Linked DNA regions of Arabidopsis thaliana. The protein of the gene in region 4 purifies or fractionates together with the protein of the main gene of each other region. This does not show direct contact. Each region holds a gene or a part of one and is shown on either strand. Other genes may lie near its edges. The genes, in order: AT1G79870, OASA1, HDH and AT5G10540.

Region 1 (4,354 bases), on a different chromosome or scaffold from region 4:
TTGTCAAATTTGCATTGAAATGGATAGCCAGTGAAGAAAAAGTAACAAACAAAGGTATTTTCTCTTTTCTCAGGACTGTTAATCTCTGAAAAAGTATGAACTGCTCTTTAAGCAACTTCTCTGGGTTGCAGAAAAACCCAGCGCTCTGAAAAATAAAATTAAAGAGAAGGAAGATAAGGAGACAGGCATTGCTGATAGAGAGAAGGAAAATGGAGATAACTCATGTGCTAGCTTGTGCAAGGACAACACTGATCAACTTGTGGTTCCCCCATGGAACAACAGTAATTCTGTCAGCTCTGAGGTTCTCAAGGATCTTTTTCAAAGATTTGGCAGCGTTGAAGTAAGTTGCAACACTTTTTGTCAAACCACCAATCCCTTAAAAAGTGATTGTTGAGTTATCATCTTTTCCTGTGCTTACTGCAGCACATAGAATACTCTGGTGGATTGGATTCGGGTTACGTTTGGTTCACAGATTCAGAAACAGCAATGAAAGCCCGTGCAGCTGTGGAGTTTGTTGGAGGTTTAGTTGTGAAGAATAACTTCTCAGTAGCCTTAGAAGCAATTAATGGTAAGGTGGCAATTCCATGGTGTTAGTTATACCAAAGAAATGGAGTTAATCATAGAAACGTTGAAAATGACTAGTGTACTAATGGCCTTCAGGGGAGATGGAGAGAGAGTTGTGGAAAAGACTATCATCAGCTGAGCTGGAAGGAGGGTATGACATCAAACCAAACCTTGTTTATTCTTCATTGTAGGGAACATACTTGGGATTTGGCTTGTACCACCACTCATTTGTTCTCCTTGCTGGTACTTCATTGGTTGTTTACCAACCTAACTCCAAGATTCTTTGTTAATGTGCATCAGGAAAGAAGGTCACAAAAAGGAAAAAGGCAAAGATGAGTGTTTTGAAAACGTGCAACCTACCAAGAAGGCCCGAAAGGAGCCCTAATTAAAGTTTTGGGTTTTGTTTTATGTCATCCTCTTCTCTACGTTTTTTTAGGTTCAGCTGATTCTCAACAAAATAGATATTGCTTCACTTGACTGACATCTATGAGTAGTTTTGTAAACGTTTTTTGGTCTGGGATGGTTAATGACTTGACGTATTGCCGTATGCGCCACTCGTATACTAGACCAATACTTTGTGAAAAGAAAGATGAGTAAGAGACATAAAACGGAGAGGATTCGCCTAGTGTTCAAATCCGTTCCTTATATACGACAGTGCAACTTTCTTTTGGAAGAGAAATTACCCTTTTCATGAGTTCGTTAACATAAAAACCTTTCAAATGAAGTGAAACCAAATCCCAAATGTGTCACATGACTCAGACGACCGGAGTCAGAAGTGATTTCCCAGAAAAGTGCGCTTCCAAGTTACCCACGACAAGATCGGCCATGGCATTCCGTGTTTCCACAGTGCCACTCCCAACGTGAGGGAGGAGAACTACATTCTCAAGGCCAAAGAGCTCCTCGGGCACGTGAGGCTCCTGCTCAAACACATCAAGGGCAGCCCCACCTAGGCGGCCTTCTGTTAGAGCTTTAATAAGCTCTTGCTCATCAACATGTGGTCCACGGCCAATGTTTATGAGGACGCCCTTAGCTCCTAATGCATCCATGACCTGCCGGTCCACAATGTGTCTGGTCTGCTCGGTCAACGGGCATGCGACGACGAGGATGTCTGAGTTTTGAGCAAGGTCAACCACCGTCGGATAATACTTGTAGGCGACATCAGGCTTAATGGTTCTTGAGTAGTAATTGATTGGGCAGCTAAAGGCTTCAGCCCTCTTTGCGATGGCAGTCCCAATTCTACCTAGACCAATGATCCCCACGGATTTTCCACTAAACTGAGTCAACCAAAAGAAAGAAAGAATGTGACGCTAAAGCAGAGATAGAAGACCAAAGATAAGATAGGGCAGAGAGCTCTTTTCCAATCAATCAATAGTGGGTAAGAAGTAGAAACCTTGGTAGTGAGTTGGAATTCACCTTGCTTCCATTTTCCGCTCCTTACATAGCGATCGCACTCACACAGCCGTCGAAGGAGAGCCAGGATAAGCCCGATGGCGAGATCTGCGACGTCTTCGGTGAGAACGTCGGGGGTGTTGGTGACGCGGATCCCTTTTTCTTTGCATTTCCCCAAATCGATCTTGTCGAGCCCGACGCTGAAGCTGGATACAATCTCAAGGTTGGGCAGATCGCTGATGAGCTGAGCATCGGCGCCGGCAGAAGCATTCCCAACGACGGCGCGGATGGAGTTCCGATGAGTTTCTAGGAGGACGGATTTCTCCGGAGAAGTCCAGAAGCGAAGAAGGTTGAAGCGCTTCTCAAGCTCGTTCTCGAGGTAGGAGGACATGGGGCACATCATAAGGACTCCGATTGATTCCATATCTCCTTTTCTCTGTTTTTTTTTTTTATTTTTCTTCTGCAAATGATTGAGTCAGTGAGAGGTCTGTGTATAATTTATCGGAGGTTGACGATAAAGATGGGCCTATTTTTGGGCCCATAATTGATATTATCCGCTTTTTATGGGCCACTAAATGACCCTTTTCAAGTTTTCCTCTTGGTTCCGAAATCATGACTTATGTTTAAAGACAACATTGCACGTTTGATGATATTCATGCAAATTGTTGTAGGATTCATGAACATGATACAAACACAAGAAGACATACACTGTATGTGTATGGAAACGTAGCAGATTCCCCGTTGACATTGCATGTTTAGGGAATCCAGTGACAAGGGTGTAATCACATTTTAGTATGTTACTATATGATAACATTTTATAATTTAAACGGCTCTCTATCTCTAATTATCAATGTTCAAAATCCTAAATAATGATTAGTTAAAATTAAGAGGTGTGGTCTGAAACATGCGCCCCACGTCCCATCTTCCAAAAAAAGGAAGCAAAAGAAGAAAGCTCCACAATTTTCTCAAAGCCAAAATCACTGTAACAATTACCCTTTATTGTTTTGCGGCTCGATTAGCTTCTCCTTCCCTTTTGATTCTCCCCATCTCAAGAGAGGCCCATTTGATCCTCTCTCTTTCTCTCTCTCTCCTCTCTAATTCTCTATTGCCATCAAGAGACCAGGAATGGTTCGTGCTTCGGAACAAGAACAGGAAACCTATAGGAGCAGGCTCTTCAATTTCAAATGGAGGAACAACGACAACAATAGTGCTACGAGACACAACAAGAGTCTCAGCGTCGAGACCGGTTTAGATGAGGCTGCCACCGGATCCCATGACGCTGAACCATTGACCATTATTCATCCTAGTCAGGGTCCACCACTTTCAAGATCGGCTGCGGATGAAGCAGTCCTCGCCGCCCTCGCCGCCTCACAGGCTAGAGAAAGGCAGCTTTTGGCAGACATGGAGCAGATGAAAGAGCGCTTCTCCAAGCTGTTGCTGGGAGAGGACAATTCCGGTGGAGGCAAAGGAGTATCCTCTGCTCTCGCCCTTTCAAACGCAATCACAAACCTTGCAGGTTGCTTTAGGACCCTCTTTTGTTATTACACTTAGTTTATATTAACCAGCAACCAATATCTCATGTTTATCTTGTTGGTATAGCTTCCGTGTTCGGAGAGCAACGGCGCTTGGAGCCAATGCCTGCAGAAAGAAGAGCAAGATGGAGAAAAGAGATTGATTGGCTTCTCTCCGTGACCGATTACGTGGTTGAGTTTGCTCCATCTCAGCAGAAAAATAAAGATGGGACCAATATGGAGGTTGTCTATCTGCTGCTGCTGCTGCATTATATTTCATTTGGTAACATACAATGATTCCCTTATTCTGTTGGTATTGATTTAACAGATAATGACCACACGCCAACGTACTGACCTCCACATGAATATCCCCGCATTGAAGAAACTGGACGCCATGCTCATCGTAAGACCTCTCTCTCTCTCTCTCTCGTTGACCAAATATCAACCCTACTTTAATAATTTCATTTAGGATATTCAAAAGCATCCTCTTATCCCCCTTTTCTACCTAGGATTGTCTAGAAAATTTCAAGGACCAAAGCGAGTTCAGCTATATCTCAAAAGACTCCCCTGACTTAGACGGTAAGAGAAACGACGAAAAATGGTGGATTCCGACCGTCAAAGTTCCACCAGATGGTCTATCAGAAGCTTCAAGAAGGTTTTTGCAGTACCAGAAAGATTGTGTAAACCAGGTTCTAAAGGCAGCCATGGCCATAAACGCACAGGTTTTGTTCGAGATGGAGATACCTGAGAGCTACATCGACTCTCTCCCAAAGGTAAAAAAAAAAAAAGACACCAACAATTGATGTTATTGATTAGAAGAGTTGATGAAGAATAATACTCACTTGTTTAGTTTGTAATAAATAAATAAACAGAACGGGAGGGCGAGTCTC
Region 2 (5,903 bases), on a different chromosome or scaffold from region 4:
CGCCGATACGCTCCTCTGGTTACTTTCTCCGTCGCCGTCGCCAGAGCATTTTTTATCCTAAATTTAAATTTTTTCAAATAAATATTTGGGCTTTATAAGGCCCATAATAATTGTAGCAACTCTTACTATACTCATTGCTGTATCTGATCATTTACTTCAGTCTTCAGATATCTGAATTATCCACAAATCTAAAATTGAGAAAACTTAAAAAAGTTCCCAATTTCGAAAAATGTCACTAACCGCACAATTCTCGCCGCCGGTCACCGGAATAACCAGGAGTCTCCGGGATACAAAACCGTCACTGTCTAATCTCCGTGTATTTCCGGTTTACACTGAGATAAGAACTATGACGACGAGTAATCTGAGGAAATCGGCGTGTTTTGTGGCTAAGGCTATAGAACAGAGACGAGATACAGCTGGATCTGAATCGGAATCAGAAGCGACTCCGTCACCGGCGGAAGAGAGTGGAAGCGGAGAAGATAAGGAAGTGGAGATTAGCGCGATAGGAGCAGAGATAAAAGCAGCGATGGAGCAGAGGAAAACGGCGGAGGAAGAGAAAGGGAAGAACGAGTTTCTTAGTGGAGTTGCGGAGGAAGTGAAGGAGATTGAGTGGCCGGCGTTTCAGAAAGTTCTCGGAACTACCGGCGTCGTGCTCGGTGTTATCGCTGGCTCTAGCGTCGTCTTGCTCACTGTCAATTTCCTTTTGGCTGAACTCTCTGATCGAGTGTTCATCGGAAGAGGTGTTCAAGACTTCTTCAGCTGATCCTGTGAATTGAAAATGGTAAAATTTGTGTGTACAATTTTTAGTGATTGCAATGAGAAATCGAAACATTGTTGATTTGTGTAGATGATGATAAAGAGAATTATCGGAATCACTCCTTTTGAGCATTACCTTCTTCTTATCCTAATCTTATATTTAGCCTGAAATATTGACTTGGGTTATGTTGGTTTAGTTTTGATCATGAAACAGTATGATACTTATGAACAAAGTTACATAGCAAATTTAAACTTCATTAACAAGCAAGTGGTTCACAAAAGAAACAGAGAAAATCTAGTTTGACTTTTATTGGCACACAAGAGAAGATACAGATGGAAGCAAAGACGCAATGTAACTAAAGATGAAGAGTCTCTATAGGAGAAACTGAACATCTCTTTTATTTTGGCGTCTCTTAAGAAGAAATGGAGAATGTTCAAGCCTCGAAGGTCATGGCTTCCGCTTCTTTCCTTGTCGCATCGAAAAGTACCGTTGATAGATACCTCTCCCCGAAACTCGGGAATATCGCCTGTAAAATAATTCAGTTGATTTCGTTTACATCAGAATCAGAAAGAAATCCGGGTTATGTAATCAGAGCTTATTGGCTTTGGGGTGATGATAGAATCAAAGAGCTTACCACAAATAGCTTCCCAGCGTTTTCTGGCCTCTGTGCAAGTTTAATTGCTGCAGCAGCTGCTGCACCGGATGATATTCCCACCTACAGTATAGCTTTTGTTTTTAGAAACAGAACGAAGTTGTAATTCTGATGGAGATAGCTTTTTGTTGTGAAATGTGAAACACTTACAAGAAGACCTTCTTTAAGAGCAAGCTGCCTTGCCATGTCAATGGATTCATCACTTGAAACCTGTTGAAAGCGTTACAGGAAAATGGAGAGAGTCAAGTAAGAAATGAAGCTCTCTTGCATTCAATTGTGTTTTGCTATCAGTCGATAATATCGAAAAGCAGTCTTACCTGAACAACTTCGTCAATAAGATCAACATTCAATACACTTGGTATAAAACCAGCTCCTATCCCTTGAATCTTGTGAGGACCTTGATATTTTCAGCAAACATCATGTGTTAGGAAACTCCGAGGATAAAAAATAAGACATGAGGCAAACCGAGAAACGAGGAACATGCATGCATGGTTATCGTAATAAACGCAGGGGGAACCAAAATCACCTGGCTTCCCACCGGATAGAATAGCACTTTCAACTGGCTCCACTCCATACAGCTAACAGAAGAGGAAACAAAATGAGAAACCGTGCAAAGACACACCACTTAGTCACTTAGATAACAAAGCCAGTTGTTCGAAAAGATGGAGCTCTCACCTTGACGTTTGCGTTCTGTTCTTTAAGATACTTCCCAGCACCTGTAATGGTACCACCAGTACCAATCCCAGAAACAAAGCCATCGATTTTGCCACCAGTGCCTTTCCATATCTCAGGTCCCGTAGTCTCATAGTGGATCTGCATTTGACAGTGAAATTCCATCGACTTAATATGGTTCAAAAACAGACAAAAACAGATACACTAAAGCAATAGTAAATAATAAGCATACCTTAGGGTTGGCAGGGTTCTCAAACTGCTGAAGCATGTAACCATTGGGTGTTTTCGCCAAAATCTCTTCCGCCTTTGCGATAGCTCCTTTCATGCCCTTAGCTGGGTCAGTTAAAACCAACTCAACTCCAAAAGCTAAGAGAATGATTCTTCTCTCAGTACTCATAGAAGCTGGCATTGTAATAATAAGCTTGTAGCCTTTGGCAGCTGCCGTGAATGCTAACCCAACTCCAGTGTTTCCACTTGTTGGCTCAATCAGCACACTCTAAAGAACAAACAAAAAGTCAGAAACAATGAAAACAAAAACAAAATAGTGGTTTGAAGATTCAGATAATCGAAACTGACCTCTCCTGGTTTGATAAGACCCTTCTTTTCTGCATCAGAAATCATGCTAAAACCAATCCTGCAGAAATAAACAAAGTACAAGGTCTTCACAAAACCGAAACTCGAAGCGAGAAACAACACATAGTTTCTGGACTAGAGAAGAAACCTGTCTTTGACGCTAGAGCACGGTTCCATCATCTCAAGCTTAGCAGCAACACGACCAACACATCCTTCAGCAACATTGTTCAAATACACCAATGGAGTGTTCCCAATCAACTGCCAAATAGAATCAATCAATACATGAACATGGAACAAAGCTCACTCCTTCGTGAAATGAACAGTGAAAGAACTTGAAAGCCTTACTTCAGTCACATCTTTAGCAATTCTCGAGGCCATGATTCAAGCTTCACTGCTTAAATTCACAAAAAGAGAAAAGTAAGACCAAAGGAATAAATCATCCTCAAACCAAAAACACATCATACAAAATCATCAAACATAAATCTCCAGATGTATGAGCACCAATCCAGTTATACAACACTCTTAACACCAAATCAACAGATTTAACAGCGAAATAAGCTTAAGCCCATACAATTATCCGATCCAAACAAATATAATCGAAACCGGCAGAGGAATAAGCAAGTGAATCAAAAAGTATGGGACGAGGAAGAAGATGATACCTGAATGAGAAAGTCAATAACCTTGACCCGAATCGTTTTGAAGAAAATGGAGAAAATCGGTTGTATGGAATAAAATCTTCGAATGATGAGATATATGATCTCTTTGGTGTCAGTCACATGGCACACGCTATCAATTTAGAAAAACGCGGTGGTTGGTCACCAGAATTACTACTTCTCGGTCTGATTTGGTCATATCCGTATTAAGTCCGGTTAATATTTTCCATAACTGGGGTTTGAACATTCGGTTTCTTTTTTTCAGTTAGTCCGATTTGGAGTTTTGAGTATGGAAAAATAATACTGAATTTATTTGTTCAAACTGTTTTGGAAAAAATATTTCCCTTAATTACGAATATAATTAAAATTTTAAAATTCATTTTATTAGATCTTGGTTAATTCGGTTTAATGCATTAATGAATTTCGGTTTAAGTCGGTTTTCGGTTTTTATGTCCCACCACTATCTACAACCGATGATCAACCTTATCTCCGTATTCACCACAAACAGTCATCACTCTCACTTGACACAAAAACTCTTTTGTCTCCGTCTCTCTGTCTCTCATGGCGACTCTTCCTCTCCCGACTCAAACTTCTACAATCTCTCTCCCTAAACCTTATCTCTCCAATTCCTTCTCCTTCCCACTCCGTAACGCAACACTCTCAACAACAACAAACCGCCGGAACTTTCTCACCACCGGAAGGATCATAGCTCGGGCATATAAAGTGGTGGTAGAGCACGACGGAAAGACGACTGAATTGGAAGTCGAACCAGACGAGACGATTCTATCTAAGGCTCTTGACTCTGGCCTTGACGTTCCCTACGACTGCAATCTCGGTGTTTGTATGACTTGTCCAGCGAAACTCGTGACCGGAACGGTGGATCAAAGTGGTGGGATGCTAAGTGATGATGTGGTTGAACGTGGCTACACGCTTCTATGTGCTTCGTATCCAACTTCTGATTGTCACATTAAGATGATCCCTGAGGAAGAACTCTTGTCTCTCCAGCTCGCCACTGCCAACGACTAATCATCTTCTTGATTTAGACTAAAGAAGTCTTTTTTTTGGTGTAATACGAACACTTTGTAACGAATCTTGCTATGAGACTTCGAAATCTTGATTTCAATGAGCCAATACAAACAGTGATACATAACATAATCACAGTGAAACATTCCTGGTTTAAGATGAATCTATTAAGTACTGAACTAAATTCGTTGATTGAAACATTAGGAAAGTGAATAGATATGTATAATTTAGATTAATAAACACACAAGGGTAGACTAATTCAGAACCAGAAAGAGTGAGAGTGTTAGCTACAAATGATACGATATAAAAAAAGAGAGATTACAACAAAAACGAGGTAGAGACAAAACGTAGACACCAGAGATCAGTGGTTGGTTACTTACCATCTTCTTTTTTCCTTTGTCATTGTCTAATCAGTAGTAAGCATGCTGAATATGGTGGTGGTGGTGCGGGTGAGGATGGTAAACTGGAGGGGGTGGAGCAGCCACCGGACTGCAGTAGGTACCATATGCTGTCGGATAACTGACCGGAGAGGTTTGGTAAGAACCATGAACCGCCTCGGGTGAGTATTGGTATGGAGGGCTCCTGTTGCTGTAGATGGTAGGTGGGGATGTGGTGTATGCTGGTACACCGTATTGAGGTGAGTGACTTTGGGATCTGATGAATGTTGGTGGAGGCGGTGGGAAAGAGGAGACGTAAGCGTTTGTGATACGCCCTGCTTTGGCTGGTGGCATTGGACCGCTGTAGCTTGCTCGGGTTCTCTTGTTGGCGGGAATCACGGCTGGTTTTCTCTTCTCGGTTTTGGTCTTCTCTAGCTGATCCAACCTCTTCTTGAGATTCTCGGGTGGGAATTCTTCCTCGAGTTTGTATTCTTCTATGCATTTTAAGACTGCTCTAAGTGCTGATTGCTCTTTGCGCGCCACAAGATGCTAGAAAAATACACACATACATTGGTAAGCGAGTGCAGAAGAAACAGATCCCTGCAAATGGATCCAGCAAAGAAAACGAGTAACACAAATGGAGGAAAGTACCGCAGATCGGCCAGAATTGTTGGAATCATCAGTGATTAAAGCTGTAGCTTTCTTTGCATCCCTCAGATAAGCTTTGAGCAAAGGAACAGGAGGGAACAAGTGTACAAGACCAACTTCAAAAGTGAAATGAACCGCATCAAGCTGTTGTCCCCTGATTATCAACTCTTCAATCATATCTGTGTGAAGCCATAACAACCCAAAAACCATCATTTTCCATTTCAGATACTACTCACAGATTCCCATGACAAAAGACAACAACTTGTGCTTCCCCAATATATAGCTAAAAACATCTAATGGTAATCAAAGGTAAAGAAGAAAGATTACCAGGCATTTGGTCGCCCAAACCAACTGAAACAGCAAGCTTTGGCATCTGTTTACGCCAAGCTGAACCAACCACAAGTTTCCTATAAAGAGCTAGATCATCCTTCTTCACAATCCCAAAAGTCACAAGATGTTGCAGAAACGTATGAACATCAGGTGTTTTCACATTCTCAATCCCTCCTCTCTCTTCCAAGCTAGCCTTCCACGTCTCAGCAATCTCTTTA
Region 3 (6,037 bases), about 22 Mb from region 4:
TATGTGAATTGAAGCTTATTTTCTTCCTTATTCATCTGATTATCTTTTGACTTTTGTAAAACAAAAAAGAAATAACAGAGTACAATGTTAAGATCATCTCTCTGTTTTACTGTGAGCTCTGGACTTACTATTCACTGTATCCAATAAATAAGTTGTTTAGAGCGATGTTAGAATCAAATGAGCTGATAGCTTTAGTTTCTGCGGCATGAGCCTAAGATTCATTTATGCATGTCTGATTTATGGCAATGTTTTTTAGTTCAATGGTGGGTCTTTGTGTTTTTAGTGTCTGACAGTGACAGATAGAAAGGAAATTGATACCTCAGATTGAGCAAGTGTGAGTAGAGTTTCAGCATCATCGAGTTAGTGCATTGTCTTGGTTTCTCTAAAGATTTCATATACAAATCCTATAAACAGTAGAGAAAATGAATCCAATTATTTGATTTGATATAACTCACATTCAATTAAAGCAGACTCACCCATTTAAAGACAAACAAAGATGTACCAATTATATATGGACATCAAGAGTTGTTTACTACACATTTTCTCCCCAATATTTAAGATCAATCAATATTACATGACAAAAACCAGGAGACTTGTTATTCTGTGAGACTTGACTCTTCTGCAGAATCATTTTCTGCTCTTTCCTTCTGAAGAAACTTATGGCACATGATGGTACCAACAAAATCAAGCATTCCATGTTTCACAAGCTCCAGCCGCTCCGAACTGTTCATTACAGAGAACCCAAACCGCTCAGTCCAAGTGGTCACAACCTCTTTTGCAGCCGGTAAGACCAGTCTACAAACTCCCATCTGAGACATTTGCTTCTCCAACTCATCCATCAGCACTCTGCACATCCCACTTCTTCTGTAACTAGACAATGTCGCCACCAAAGGGATCTCGACTACATCTTTGTCAACTCTCACTGCTGCCACCGTGATAGGCTCGTTCTTTCTCTCGATCAAGACTGTGTAAAACCCGCGGCCCACTCCAGTTCTGTCTTTCCTGTATATCAGTTCCTCAACAAGGTCTCTCCCAGAGAAAACATCATTGGTAGGCTCAAACCCTTGGTGAAGTATCTCGACAGCAGATTCTAGCTTGGAGATTTGTTCATCATCATAGTGTTCACCTTCGTTCGGAGCTCTCATCAATGTCCAGACCAAATCACCGTCGTTGCCTACTGCAATTTTACTTCCTAGGAGATTCTCAAGCGCGGAAAAGACTCTGTTGCATTGACTACTACAGAACCAGCCTCTACTCGAAACAATGCAAGAGTCTTCTTTCAAACACGTGAGATGGAACCTTCTCTGGCACTGCTCACAAGCCATCAACTTGCTGTTCGCGGGTGATTCCATTGATCCACAGATATCGCAGCAGCAACAAGGACAGAACCAGAGGTCTTCCTCGGGAAGACTAGACAAACCGAGGCAAGCATGGTGAAACGCTGAAGGACAACCATCACAAAGAAGCAAATCTCCACCCCAGTGACAAACACAACACACATCACAGTTCATGTCCGGACTACAATCTTTTCTACAGAATCTTAGAGACTCTTTTTCATGCTTGTTCTTCTGCTGCTTCTTTTCCATCACTTGTAATACCTTCTTCAGAGATTTCACCATCTTCGGCCTCCTTATCTCTTCACTCGCCATCTTCCTTCTCTTCTTCTGTTGCTCATGTATTACATCAACATTGAGACCGATTCTGATCTTCTCTTGGTCCCCATTAAACACAGCCGTATCAGAACCCTCTCTATTCATTATTATCTTCTTCTGTTGTTGTTGTTTTGCTACATCAAAATTTGGAACGATTTTGATCAAATCAGCAGACGGATGATTATCTTTTTCCGGAGCTGTGCTTTTGACATCCAAATCCTCGACCCTACCCCTTTTCTTACTTTTCTTCTGTTTTTGATTCGAAACATCAGAACTAGACTCTGAGGCAATATTGCTTGGAAGGCAAGACAAGTCATATTTGGGAACAATTTGTAGTTGCTGTTGAGAGTCTTGGTCGACACAACTCATACAAGCCTTAGCTAAAGAGTAGAACCACTTTCCCTTGGGAGACTTATAACGCTGCTCTTTCTTGTTCCTTTTGTTATAGTAAGAGATTACCCAACCAAGAGCCGAGAGATGTCTCTTCACCTTGATGGACAAATCCGATCGTCGTTTTCCGTTCTCCGTCATCTTTCCATGCTTTACCGTCGAAAGCCACTCTTCGATGGCTCCTGGACTTAGCTCTGCTTCCATCGGAACAATATCACACGAATTCATTCTTCAAGGAAACACGACTCTCGCTTATCGACTAGGGTTTTAGGCACATATAAGGTTCGAGAAAAATAAGGAAATTTTCCCTTAAACAAAGGGAACAAATCTTATAAAGATTTTATCAGTTTTAAATCTGTTGAATATTTTTTCCAAATATTAAATTAAAAAAATGGAAAACGTGATGCGAAAGTATCTGGAAAAATAGAAATTTGATTAGAATGTTAATTCCTATACATTAAGAAGTACGTGGGCCTTTGGCTCATAAACGTTTTCGAAAAATCTTTATACAGAAAGGCCCATTCTTGTGGAAAAATATAGAATTAGGCCCATAATTTCTTGTTAGTAGTGTTAAATATGGCGAAAATATTAATATATAAGAAAATTAGAATATGCTTCAGTAAAGGCCCAATTATTTTTTTAGCGGTGCAGATGAATGGGCTTTACGGGCCTTAATTGGTTTTGTAAACCTTGTACGTTTTAAGGCCTTTATTATCGTTAAGACAAAACAATCGCCGACTTTAGACTCTGTCGCCGGCGACACTCAAACTCAAACGAACGAACACTGTCCTGATTTGAGGAATCCGGTGAATCGAAACTAGATGTCCCTCAATCTGTCTCGTCTTTCGCTTCTCTCGTCCCCACGTATCTCGATTTCAACTCACGCTCCTCGGAAAGGTCACTCTCTTTTCTTTCACTCTCTGTTTTGTTCTTTATCGCCTGAGAATTGATGTGGATTTTTCAAATTTCAGTTAATCTTAGCTAATTGACTTGAAATTCAATGAAAAGATTCAATTTTTGGTTTAATTAAGCAAGTTGTGAGATAGATGAACGAATTTGTTGACCAATTGCGTTTTACAGGATACGTTTGTTGCTCTATGAAGTCTTATAGATTATCTGAACTTAGTTCTTCCCAAGTTGATAGTTTGAAGTCACGCCCTCGCATTGACTTCTCTTCTATTTTCGCCACTGTAACTTTCAAACTCTTCTTCTTCTTCTTCGTTGACCATTTTCCCACTTCTCTTATTAAGCTCGGTCATATTTTACTATCAGGTGAACCCGATTATCGATGCTGTTCGTAGCAATGGGGATAATGCTGTCAAAGAGTAAGTGACTTATTCTCTGTCTTTCATTTTCACTACTCTTATTCCCTAGAAGAGATGGAAATGAGGATTATATTTTGTTTCAGATACACTGAAAGATTTGACAAAGTCCAGCTGAATAAAGTTGTGGAAGATATGTCTGAGCTTTCTGTTCCTGAGGTAGTTGATTTAACTTTTGTATATAAATGTTTTGAATTCTTTTTCATTTGTATGTTAAATTAATTTCCTTTCTCTGTGTCAATGCCTTTTGTATTCAGCTCGATTCCAATGTCAAAGAAGCGTTTGATGTTGCGTATGACAACATATATGCGTTTCACTTAGCCCAAAAGTCAACTGAGAAAAGCGTTGAGAATATGAAAGTAAGTCAATTTAGTTACACATTACGTTCTTAAGTCTTCTTCACACTAATCTTTAGTCGTGAACTTTGTTAGGGTGTCAGATGTAAAAGGGTGTCAAGATCTATTGGCTCTGTAGGTCTTTATGTGCCTGGTGGAACAGCTGTTTTGCCATCAACGGCTTTGATGCTTGCTATTGTAAGTTCTCATGTTTTATACTTTTGCTTGTTCATTTCTCTTGTAATTTTGTAATAATCTTGTCTTCTTTTTCCTTACCCTATACTTCTCTCTCAGCCTGCTCAAATTGCTGGATGTAAAACAGTTGTTCTTGCAACTCCACCAAGTAAGGATGGAAGCATTTGTAAGGTAGTACTCCGAGCTGTCTTTTTTCCCTGGGAATATCCGATAGTACTTACATTTATCTTACTGCTGAGCTTATGTTTTAATCTTGTTTCAGGAGGTTCTGTATTGCGCCAAGAGGGCTGGTGTTACTCACATACTCAAAGCTGGTGGAGCGCAGGTGTGTCTGTGTTAGTTTTTTTTCGCTTATGTTTTCATGCTGGTGATTGTATTTTTTCTCTCTAAGATTGTAGACATTTCGATTTTGTTTTGCAGGCTATAGCTGCCATGGCCTGGGGGACAGATTCTTGTCCAAAGGTTGAGAAGATTTTTGGTCCTGGGAACCAGTATGTCACAGCTGCTAAGATGATTCTTCAAGTATAGATATCGTTCATCAATTACTTTTGTCCTAACTTGTTTGGAGTCTCTAGACTACTCTTTAACCTGCTTTTTCCCTTACTGCAGAACAGCGAGGCAATGGTCTCAATCGATATGCCTGCTGGTCCTTCAGAAGTCCTAGTTATTGCTGACGAACATGCTAGTCCAGTTTACATTGCAGCAGACTTACTTTCTCAGGTATTTCCATGAAAAAGTTGCAATTTTCAACATAACATATCGGGATGAGTTTGTGTCTGCCTTATTTGTTTAATTCAGACCTACAGAGAGCGGCTAACTTGTACATTTCTTTTTTTGGTTTCTCTGCAGGCGGAGCATGGTCCAGATAGTCAAGTTGTTCTTGTAGTTGTGGGCGATAGTGTAGATCTCAACGCCATCGAAGAAGAAATTGCCAAGCAGTGCAAAAGCCTTCCTAGAGGAGAGTTTGCTTCAAAAGCACTAAGTCACAGTTTCACAGTGTTTGCTCGAGATATGATTGAGGTACCCATCTCTTTACGGTTCACCTTTACTGTTACTATCTCAAAACAACATCTGTAACATCATCACTGTTTGTTCTTTAATTCTCCAGGCAATATCTTTCTCAAATCTATATGCACCCGAACATTTGATCATCAATGTCAAAGACGCTGAGAAATGGGAGGGACTGATTGAGAACGCAGGCTCGGTTTTCATAGGACCATGGACTCCAGAGAGTGTTGGGGATTATGCGAGCGGGACAAACCACGTTCTTCCAACATATGGATATGCAAGAATGTACAGTGGCGTCTCTCTCGACTCTTTCCTAAAGTTCATGACTGTACAATCTTTGACAGAGGAAGGTCTGAGAAACCTCGGCCCTTATGTAGCAACTATGGCTGAAATCGAAGGTTTAGATGCACACAAGAGAGCCGTTACTCTCAGACTCAAGGATATCGAAGCCAAACAGCTTGCATAATCCAATTGAGATTTATATTCAGACAAAAGAGGCAAAAATTCTTTTTGTATTGTATGAACATATTTGGTTTCCTGAGATGGAATAACAATAAAATAAGAGATGTTGGAAAACTCTTACCATAATCTTGTTTTTCATTCTTTAAATCTAAATCCTTCCGTATGTTTGAACCAAAGAGTAAGTTAATTGTGCTAACTTTCCCGAAACACAATGGGATTCCAAATATATCTTGTTCTTTACAAATGACAGCGACTTCAAAGATTATACAGAAAACTTCAGAGAGCACCAAAGAAAAAACTGGTAAAAGAATGATAAAATCGTATTGCTGATCAGTTTCTTCTAGCTCAAGCCGGCAAAGGTTCTTCGAGAACTGCAACACGAAAGTAACAGACCAAATAAAACATGTCTTGAGTTTAGTTCTTGCAATTCTAACAAGGAAAAGAAGAAGAAGACGAAAGGAAAAACCTTTTGTTTTTGTGGCGGACTCAGCTGGTGTGATTTCCGCATTGGAAGCGACAGGAGTTTTTGTTGGCACATCCGGAAGATCCAGCTTCTCAGATTCTTCAGACTCCTTTGTAGGCACTTCAGGCATCTCATCAACAATAAGCTTTAAGCAAAACACACATCAACATTAGTCTCTTTATCTAGTAAAGATAATAATACACAAATTTA
Region 4 (5,676 bases):
TGTCGGAATCTGAAACCATTCCGAGAACACCTCTTGGCGATGATGAATCTTCGAGGCCTAAGTCGTTCCTATGAAGCTCTACCTCTTGATGATTTTTGCTTTCACTGTTCTTGTTATCTGTTAATGTTACAAGGAATACAAAAAGTCAGTTCTATAACATGTCTGCGTAAATTTTCATAAACCCAGAAAATAAATTTGCATCAATGATTTTATTTTTTTCCCCCACTTTCTTAACAAAAAGCAAACAAATTTTATGTTTAGGTTTACCTTCAACAGCCATAGCTCCAGTGGGTTTTTTTTTCTTTTTCTTTCTTTCTTCCTCTAATAAGCCTTTGAATTAAATTTCCATAAAAAAACAGATTCACAGAAAATAAGAAAGGATACAAAACAGAGAGAATTATCGAAAATACAGAGCAGAAGAGAAACAAGAAAACAGAGGTTTAATGAGAAGTTTTGTAGAATTCTTGTTTTGTTTCTTATGAGAAAAAAGTTTGTTATTCTTGGAAGAAATAGAAAGTTAGAAGAAGAGTCAGCTTTTGCTGAGTGGAGATGGATTGGAATCTCTGCTATATTTATACAACTCCACCGTAGCAATTCAACTTTTGTTTTTATTTTTTACTTTCAACTGCAAGTCAAGTCAAGTTTTGTTTTTCTTGTTTTGTTTTTTGTAATTTCTTGTTTCTAAATTAGTAGTCCTATGATTTTAATAATTTTGAGGAAGATGAAAGGATTAGAGATTGTTGCCGTAACTAACGCATTTACGATGTAAAGAACTCAAACGGTTGATATATCTGGCTGGTTTGTGGGCATTTTCGTCATATAAAATAAGACATCACCTTTGCTTGTAATGAATTGAGAGTTAATATTAAAGGGATTTTGTTATGATTATATTTCACTCAAATTCTATTCTCCGCAAAATAGCTAATTCGTGATTCGTGATTAAAAAAGAAAATTAAATAGCGCATGTGATATTAAATAGCTCTTCTAATTTAGCAAACCTTGTTATTTTTTTCTTACATTTTTGAGCTTTTTGTTTACATGTAGAATGAGATTGAAAGTGTCGGAACATTAGGTTTTAGTTAATTTTGGATGACATTTTTTGCTAGTATGATTTAAAATTATTAAAACAACGAAAATTAGTAAAAGTTAAATAAAATTCTATAACCAAGGAATAAAAAATATGGATTTGCACTTATAGAAGTTGACAAAATCATTAGTTAAAAATTCGACAAATTGTGAGTGTGCTGTCTGTTTCTTCTTCTTTATATTTTCAATTTTTTCGTGGCGGCATAAAGAGAGGAAACATATGGCAGACAAATTTGACTACAAAATTAAGCCATCGTATCATTGATATGATTTTTTAATATTCAACTATTACTAGAATATTTGTATTCACAAATACTATCACTTTCGAGCCATAATACTAATACAAAAAAACAAGTTTCTACTACATAATCCCTGTTATTTGAAAGTTAATAACAAGAGCTATCCATTCGTAATGATGGCTACAATTGTTTTGGTTTACGAATAAACTATACTACTATTTTAGTAGTTTTCTTTCTCAACGTAACCATTGTCAATTTTTCATGCGTGACAATTTGGACCCACCTCAAACTTGCACCAATGGCCATATGGGATGCCATAATAAACACAAATCTTACTTTATAATATGAGGCGTGGATAGATCCTTAATTTTCGAGGATTAAAATGACTTTATGAGTTTACCATCACCTAAGGCGTGGAGAAAAAAAAAAGAGTTATCACCCGAAGGCATTAAAATCAACCACCTTTCCGTGAGACAAACCCAAGTGAAATGTTTAGTACTTGTCTATCTCAAAACGCCAAAGTCCAAACTCAATTCATTACATTGAAACTCCATTAGTAACAGTTAGGTTTTGTTTCTCAGACGTATATAGTCCATACGCAAAAGAAAATTCTTATATATACTACTTATAGTTTTCATGGTAACATCATTAAGTAAATTACAAATATAATAATCTACAATGACTCGGTTTTCTACTTATAAAGTTTGTTGTCTGAAGTAAACTAGTTCTAGTAATTTAGAACTAGATAAAAACAAACGATCGCAGTGTAAGTAGGGAAGATTAATTGTGTTAGTTGGTGAACTAAACCCGTTAATATATACTACCACAACCATTAATTTCTATCTTAATTTTCTAAAAAATAATATACGCCCAAAAATTAAATCGCCACCAAACTCACCAATGTGAATTTTCAGTTAGAGAAGTCAGTTCAACCGATTTTCTCAATGGCTCAATGCTATTGACATTTATTCTTCATTATTAATATTATGATTCTAACTCCCAAAGAAGCGTCTGTAGCTCAGTGGATAGAGCGTCTGTTTCCTAAGCAGAAGGTCGTAGGTTCGACCCCTACCTGACGCGTTTATTTTGTATCCTTTTATCAAAAAAAGTTTTATAAGCCCATTAGCCCAGCCCAAAAGAGTCGAGACACCAGAAAAACTGAAAATAAGACCTTGTCATTTTTTAGCACAAGGACCGAGTACAAACAGTGAAACACACACACGCACACACAAGAAACAAGAGTAAGAAAAAGGCTATATTACACACAGCAACAAGGGATCTGCTCAACGACCATGTTGAGCACTTGAAAACGTTACCGTAGCTCCACCAGAGCTTACCGATGTAGTATTCGAAGAGGATACATGATATGTTGCGACAGGCATTTTGGTCGGAAGATGAGGCACTGGTGCTTCAAGATTCAAGACTTGGATTGCTTGTTTTATTGAAGGCCTCGTGTTTACATCAGGATGAGCACACCATAATCCTACAATCATGAGACATTCTGCTTGTTTCTCATCGAAACCACCGATCCTGAGTTTCTCGTCGATAGCTGTAATAACTTCTCCTTTTCCATAAAGGTCCCACATTTTCTCTACAAGGTTTGTTACAGGCTCTACTCTTCCTTGTCTTCGATCCACAGATTTTCTTCCTGTAACAATCTCTAATGTAACCACTCCAAAGCTATACACATCAGATTCTTTGCTCGCCCTTCCGGTGCTTATGTATTCAGGAGCCATGTAACCAAATGTTCCTGCTAACCCTGTAGTCTGTGGACCTAGCTCGTGGTCCATCAATCTAGCCAACCCGAAATCACCAAGCTTGGCATTGAAATTGGAGTCGAGCATCACATTACTCGCCTTGATGTCTCTGTGTACAACACACTGCTCCCACTCCTCGTGAAGATAAAGCAGTGCAGAGGCGAGACCGAGAGTTATTTTGCATCTCACATGCCAAGCGAGATGCGGCTTTTTACCAAATAGATGGGCGTCAAGGCTACCATTTGGCATGAACTCGTATATCATTAGAAACTCATCTTTCTCATGGCACCAACCAATGAGTTGCACAAGGTTTCGATGTCTCAAACTGCTGATTATCTTTACTTCGGTTACGAACTCTCTTTTTCCCTGCTTAGACCCACCCGCAAACTTCTTTATCGCAACCATCATATCTAAGCTGTTTAAGTACCCTCTATAAACCGCTCCAAACCCTCCTTCCCCTAGCTTCCTATCATCTGCGAAATTGTTTGCAGCTGATGCAAGATCTTTATAAGTAAACTTTCTTGGTCCTGCTCCTCTTTCGAGATCTTCATTTATCGATGTTAAGTTTTCTGTCTCCTCTGCTTTCTTCTTCTGCTGCTTCCGTTTCAAGAAGACGATGAGCGAGGTAATAAAAAAGGTCAGCAAAACGAACCCAGAAACTGAAATACCAATTATCATCCCCTTCTTGTCATTCTGACTTTTCTTTATATCTATTAGCTCCAGGCTTGAACTGAACTCCCATGACAGAAGTCTATTTCCCTCGGTGACCCCTCCAGATGTCGCAGAAAACCCAATTGTAACTTCTGATGGCAGTACCTTTGAGAGATCAATGATGTAAGATAGGCTTGAATTCTCCAGAGGATCAGATGTTAAGTCGTAAGTCCAAGAGACACTCAAGTTTCTTCTAGCGGAATCATAGAATATCAGGACACGGCCTATATCTTGGTTGTGTGACGTTGCATTCCAAGAAGTGTAGTTAGAAGAAACAAGAGAGTTGTTGTTGATTCCTACATGGGATTTGACATCGAGAGGATCCCATTCTGGATTAGTAAATGTGTCGAACTCGACATAAACAAGTGGGAAAGCAGAAGACTGATTATTGGTTCCATTGAATAGACCCAAGAAACCACCAGCTGAGTTGGGAGGCAATTGGATTCTCGCTGGAGCTAGAAAGAAAGCAAACCCATGACCGTAATTACCATACCCAACATTACGGGTATCAATTCTGAAGGAGAAACGCGTACTAAAATCCGAAGGCTTACTGGTACCTGGATTCCATAAAGGAACCTGCTTACCATAAGTAGCCCAACCGGCACGGCATGTGTAGTCAATGTTGGTAAGCTCAACAGCCCCATTTGCTCTTGCATCTCCTTGGTATGCTATTTCAGAAACATCTGATCCAAAACGAGATATGTTAAATTGAACTGAACAGACAAAAGGGAGAACCAAAACAAAGGAAAATAACAGAATTGAGTTGGCCATTTGCAGGCAGAAACAACAATTAGCTCAAGAGACAAAATTGGTGCAACTGATATGTATATTTATCAGCAAGTCAATGACTAAACCTTGATTATAAGAATGAAATCATTTGAGAGCGTGATCCAAGCTATCACAGGAATTAAATTTTTTGATAAACAACCATAAAAGTCACCATATAGTTGACCCTAAGAGTAAACAGATCATATCTCTGTATTGATTGCTTATAACAGATTAGAAAAATGAGGAAGACATGTTTGATACTCATCCTAAATTGTAAGACAGCTTATGATAATCACAAAGGAACTCAAGTATATCAAAGAGAAGACTTATTTTTTCCTCAAGCCAATGGGTGAACAAGCAGAGTCAAACTTTATAGACTTCAAAAATAAGAAATCACAATCAAAAAGTCCATGTAACACTGATATTTTCCACAGAACAAGTTTATTCACAACCACGATTAGTTATTTGAACATGACATGATTAATCATCAACACAGATGAACCAAACTCAAGAACATGTCAATGCACAGTAAAAAAGGTCAAAAGATCTGTTCTTTTAAGAAATCGATTAAAAACATACACATCAAGAGACCATTATAAGCGAATATACTTCCATCAAGTCAATGCCAAACCTAGGATTAGAAAAATAAGATAGCCAGCTCAACCTCAGATAAAACTAATTAGCATCAACCTTAAAAGTAGTCAACTAAGTCTATCTGTTATCATGAGAGGAATGTGATAAACAATTGTATATGATCTTATCCTACGTGCAAGAACAAACCCAGATACAAAAACAAAATTATCTTTGAAAACGATGTGAAATCATTAAGAAAAAAGTAGGAACTTATTTAAATATTTGTAACCCTGGATCATGGCCATTCAGAAAACAATAAACTTTCTATGACTTATCCAGTTATCTTCATTTTCGTCGAACACTTGGTGAGCATGTCCTTAAACCAACCCAACGAACTACCTGAAAAATCTCCAAGCCCGGTTCAAAAAAAACTCAGAATGATAGAATTTATGATTTGACAAAATTATCCTTTAGCATTAACGAAACGCAAGTTTCTATTATTATCATTTTCGTCCCTCAAGTTTCCCTTAAGTCACATTATT

What was found.
Region 1: the proteins of AT5G10540 (region 4) and AT1G79870 fractionate together in Arabidopsis thaliana (co-fractionation; one large-scale study listed by BioGRID). This does not show direct contact.
Region 2: the proteins of AT5G10540 (region 4) and OASA1 fractionate together in Arabidopsis thaliana (co-fractionation; one large-scale study listed by BioGRID). This does not show direct contact.
Region 3: the proteins of AT5G10540 (region 4) and HDH fractionate together in Arabidopsis thaliana (co-fractionation; one large-scale study listed by BioGRID). This does not show direct contact.

The regions. Positions count from the first base shown.
Region 1 is NC_003070.9:30,042,817-30,047,170, reverse strand, and holds AT1G79870 (D-isomer specific 2-hydroxyacid dehydrogenase family protein), read right to left. Parts: upstream 2,426-4,354; 5' UTR 2,378-2,425; coding exon 1,955-2,377; intron 1,839-1,954; coding exon 1,320-1,838; 3' UTR 1,023-1,319; downstream 1-1,022. Other genes in the region: La2 (RNA recognition motif (RRM)-containing protein), read left to right, coding at 1-54, 132-340, 424-568, 661-715, 865-949; ROPGEF12 (RHO guanyl-nucleotide exchange factor 12), read left to right, coding at 3,079-3,469, 3,553-3,707, 3,793-3,867, 3,974-4,237, 4,337-4,354. UniProt on the Arabidopsis thaliana protein: Catalyzes the NADPH-dependent reduction of glyoxylate and hydroxypyruvate (HP) into glycolate and glycerate in the cytoplasm, thus providing a cytosolic bypass to the photorespiratory core cycle. Mostly active in the presence of NADPH and hydroxypyruvate.
Region 2 is NC_003075.7:8,517,019-8,522,921, forward strand, and holds OASA1 (O-acetylserine (thiol) lyase (OAS-TL)), read right to left. Parts: upstream 3,579-5,903; 5' UTR 3,314-3,578; exon of another isoform or gene 3,119-3,313; intron 3,049-3,118; exon of another isoform or gene 3,046-3,048; 5' UTR 3,033-3,045; coding exon 3,000-3,032; intron 2,913-2,999; coding exon 2,803-2,912; intron 2,716-2,802; coding exon 2,658-2,715; intron 2,578-2,657; coding exon 2,314-2,577; intron 2,223-2,313; coding exon 2,085-2,222; intron 1,988-2,084; coding exon 1,936-1,987; intron 1,807-1,935; coding exon 1,727-1,806; intron 1,620-1,726; coding exon 1,560-1,619; intron 1,473-1,559; coding exon 1,392-1,472; intron 1,284-1,391; coding exon 1,191-1,283; 3' UTR 942-1,190; downstream 1-941. Other genes in the region: OFP11 (ovate family protein 11), read left to right, coding at 1-61; SECE1 (secE/sec61-gamma protein transport protein), read left to right, coding at 230-763; FdC1 (2Fe-2S ferredoxin-like superfamily protein), read left to right, coding at 3,869-4,333; AT4G14900 (FRIGIDA-like protein), read right to left, coding at 4,741-5,256, 5,359-5,534, 5,683-5,903. UniProt on the Arabidopsis thaliana protein: Acts as a major cysteine synthase, probably involved in maintaining organic sulfur level.
Region 3 is NC_003076.8:25,564,931-25,570,967, reverse strand, and holds HDH (histidinol dehydrogenase), read left to right. Parts: upstream 1-2,761; 5' UTR 2,762-2,863; coding exon 2,864-2,939; exon of another isoform or gene 2,940-3,088; coding exon of another isoform or gene 3,089-3,122; coding exon 3,123-3,232; intron 3,233-3,314; coding exon 3,315-3,367; intron 3,368-3,450; coding exon 3,451-3,523; intron 3,524-3,621; coding exon 3,622-3,723; intron 3,724-3,795; coding exon 3,796-3,897; intron 3,898-3,993; coding exon 3,994-4,065; intron 4,066-4,156; coding exon 4,157-4,219; intron 4,220-4,314; coding exon 4,315-4,416; intron 4,417-4,503; coding exon 4,504-4,614; intron 4,615-4,743; coding exon 4,744-4,914; intron 4,915-5,002; coding exon 5,003-5,368; 3' UTR 5,369-5,537; downstream 5,538-6,037. Other genes in the region: AT5G63900 (Acyl-CoA N-acyltransferase with RING/FYVE/PHD-type zinc finger domain-containing protein), read right to left, coding at 597-2,270; VPS20.1 (SNF7 family protein), read right to left, coding at 5,710-5,735, 5,831-5,972. UniProt on the Arabidopsis thaliana protein: Catalyzes the sequential NAD-dependent oxidations of L-histidinol to L-histidinaldehyde and then to L-histidine.
Region 4 is NC_003076.8:3,322,370-3,328,045, forward strand, and holds the start of AT5G10540 (Zincin-like metalloproteases family protein), read left to right. Parts: upstream 1-2,442; 5' UTR 2,443-2,608; coding exon of another isoform or gene 2,609-4,564; 5' UTR 4,565-5,676. Other genes in the region: RBK1 (ROP binding protein kinases 1), read right to left, coding at 1-117, 268-280; AT5G10530 (Concanavalin A-like lectin protein kinase family protein), read right to left, coding at 2,609-4,564. UniProt on the Arabidopsis thaliana protein: Oligopeptidase that may be involved in the degradation of proteasome-generated peptides. Binds salicylic acid.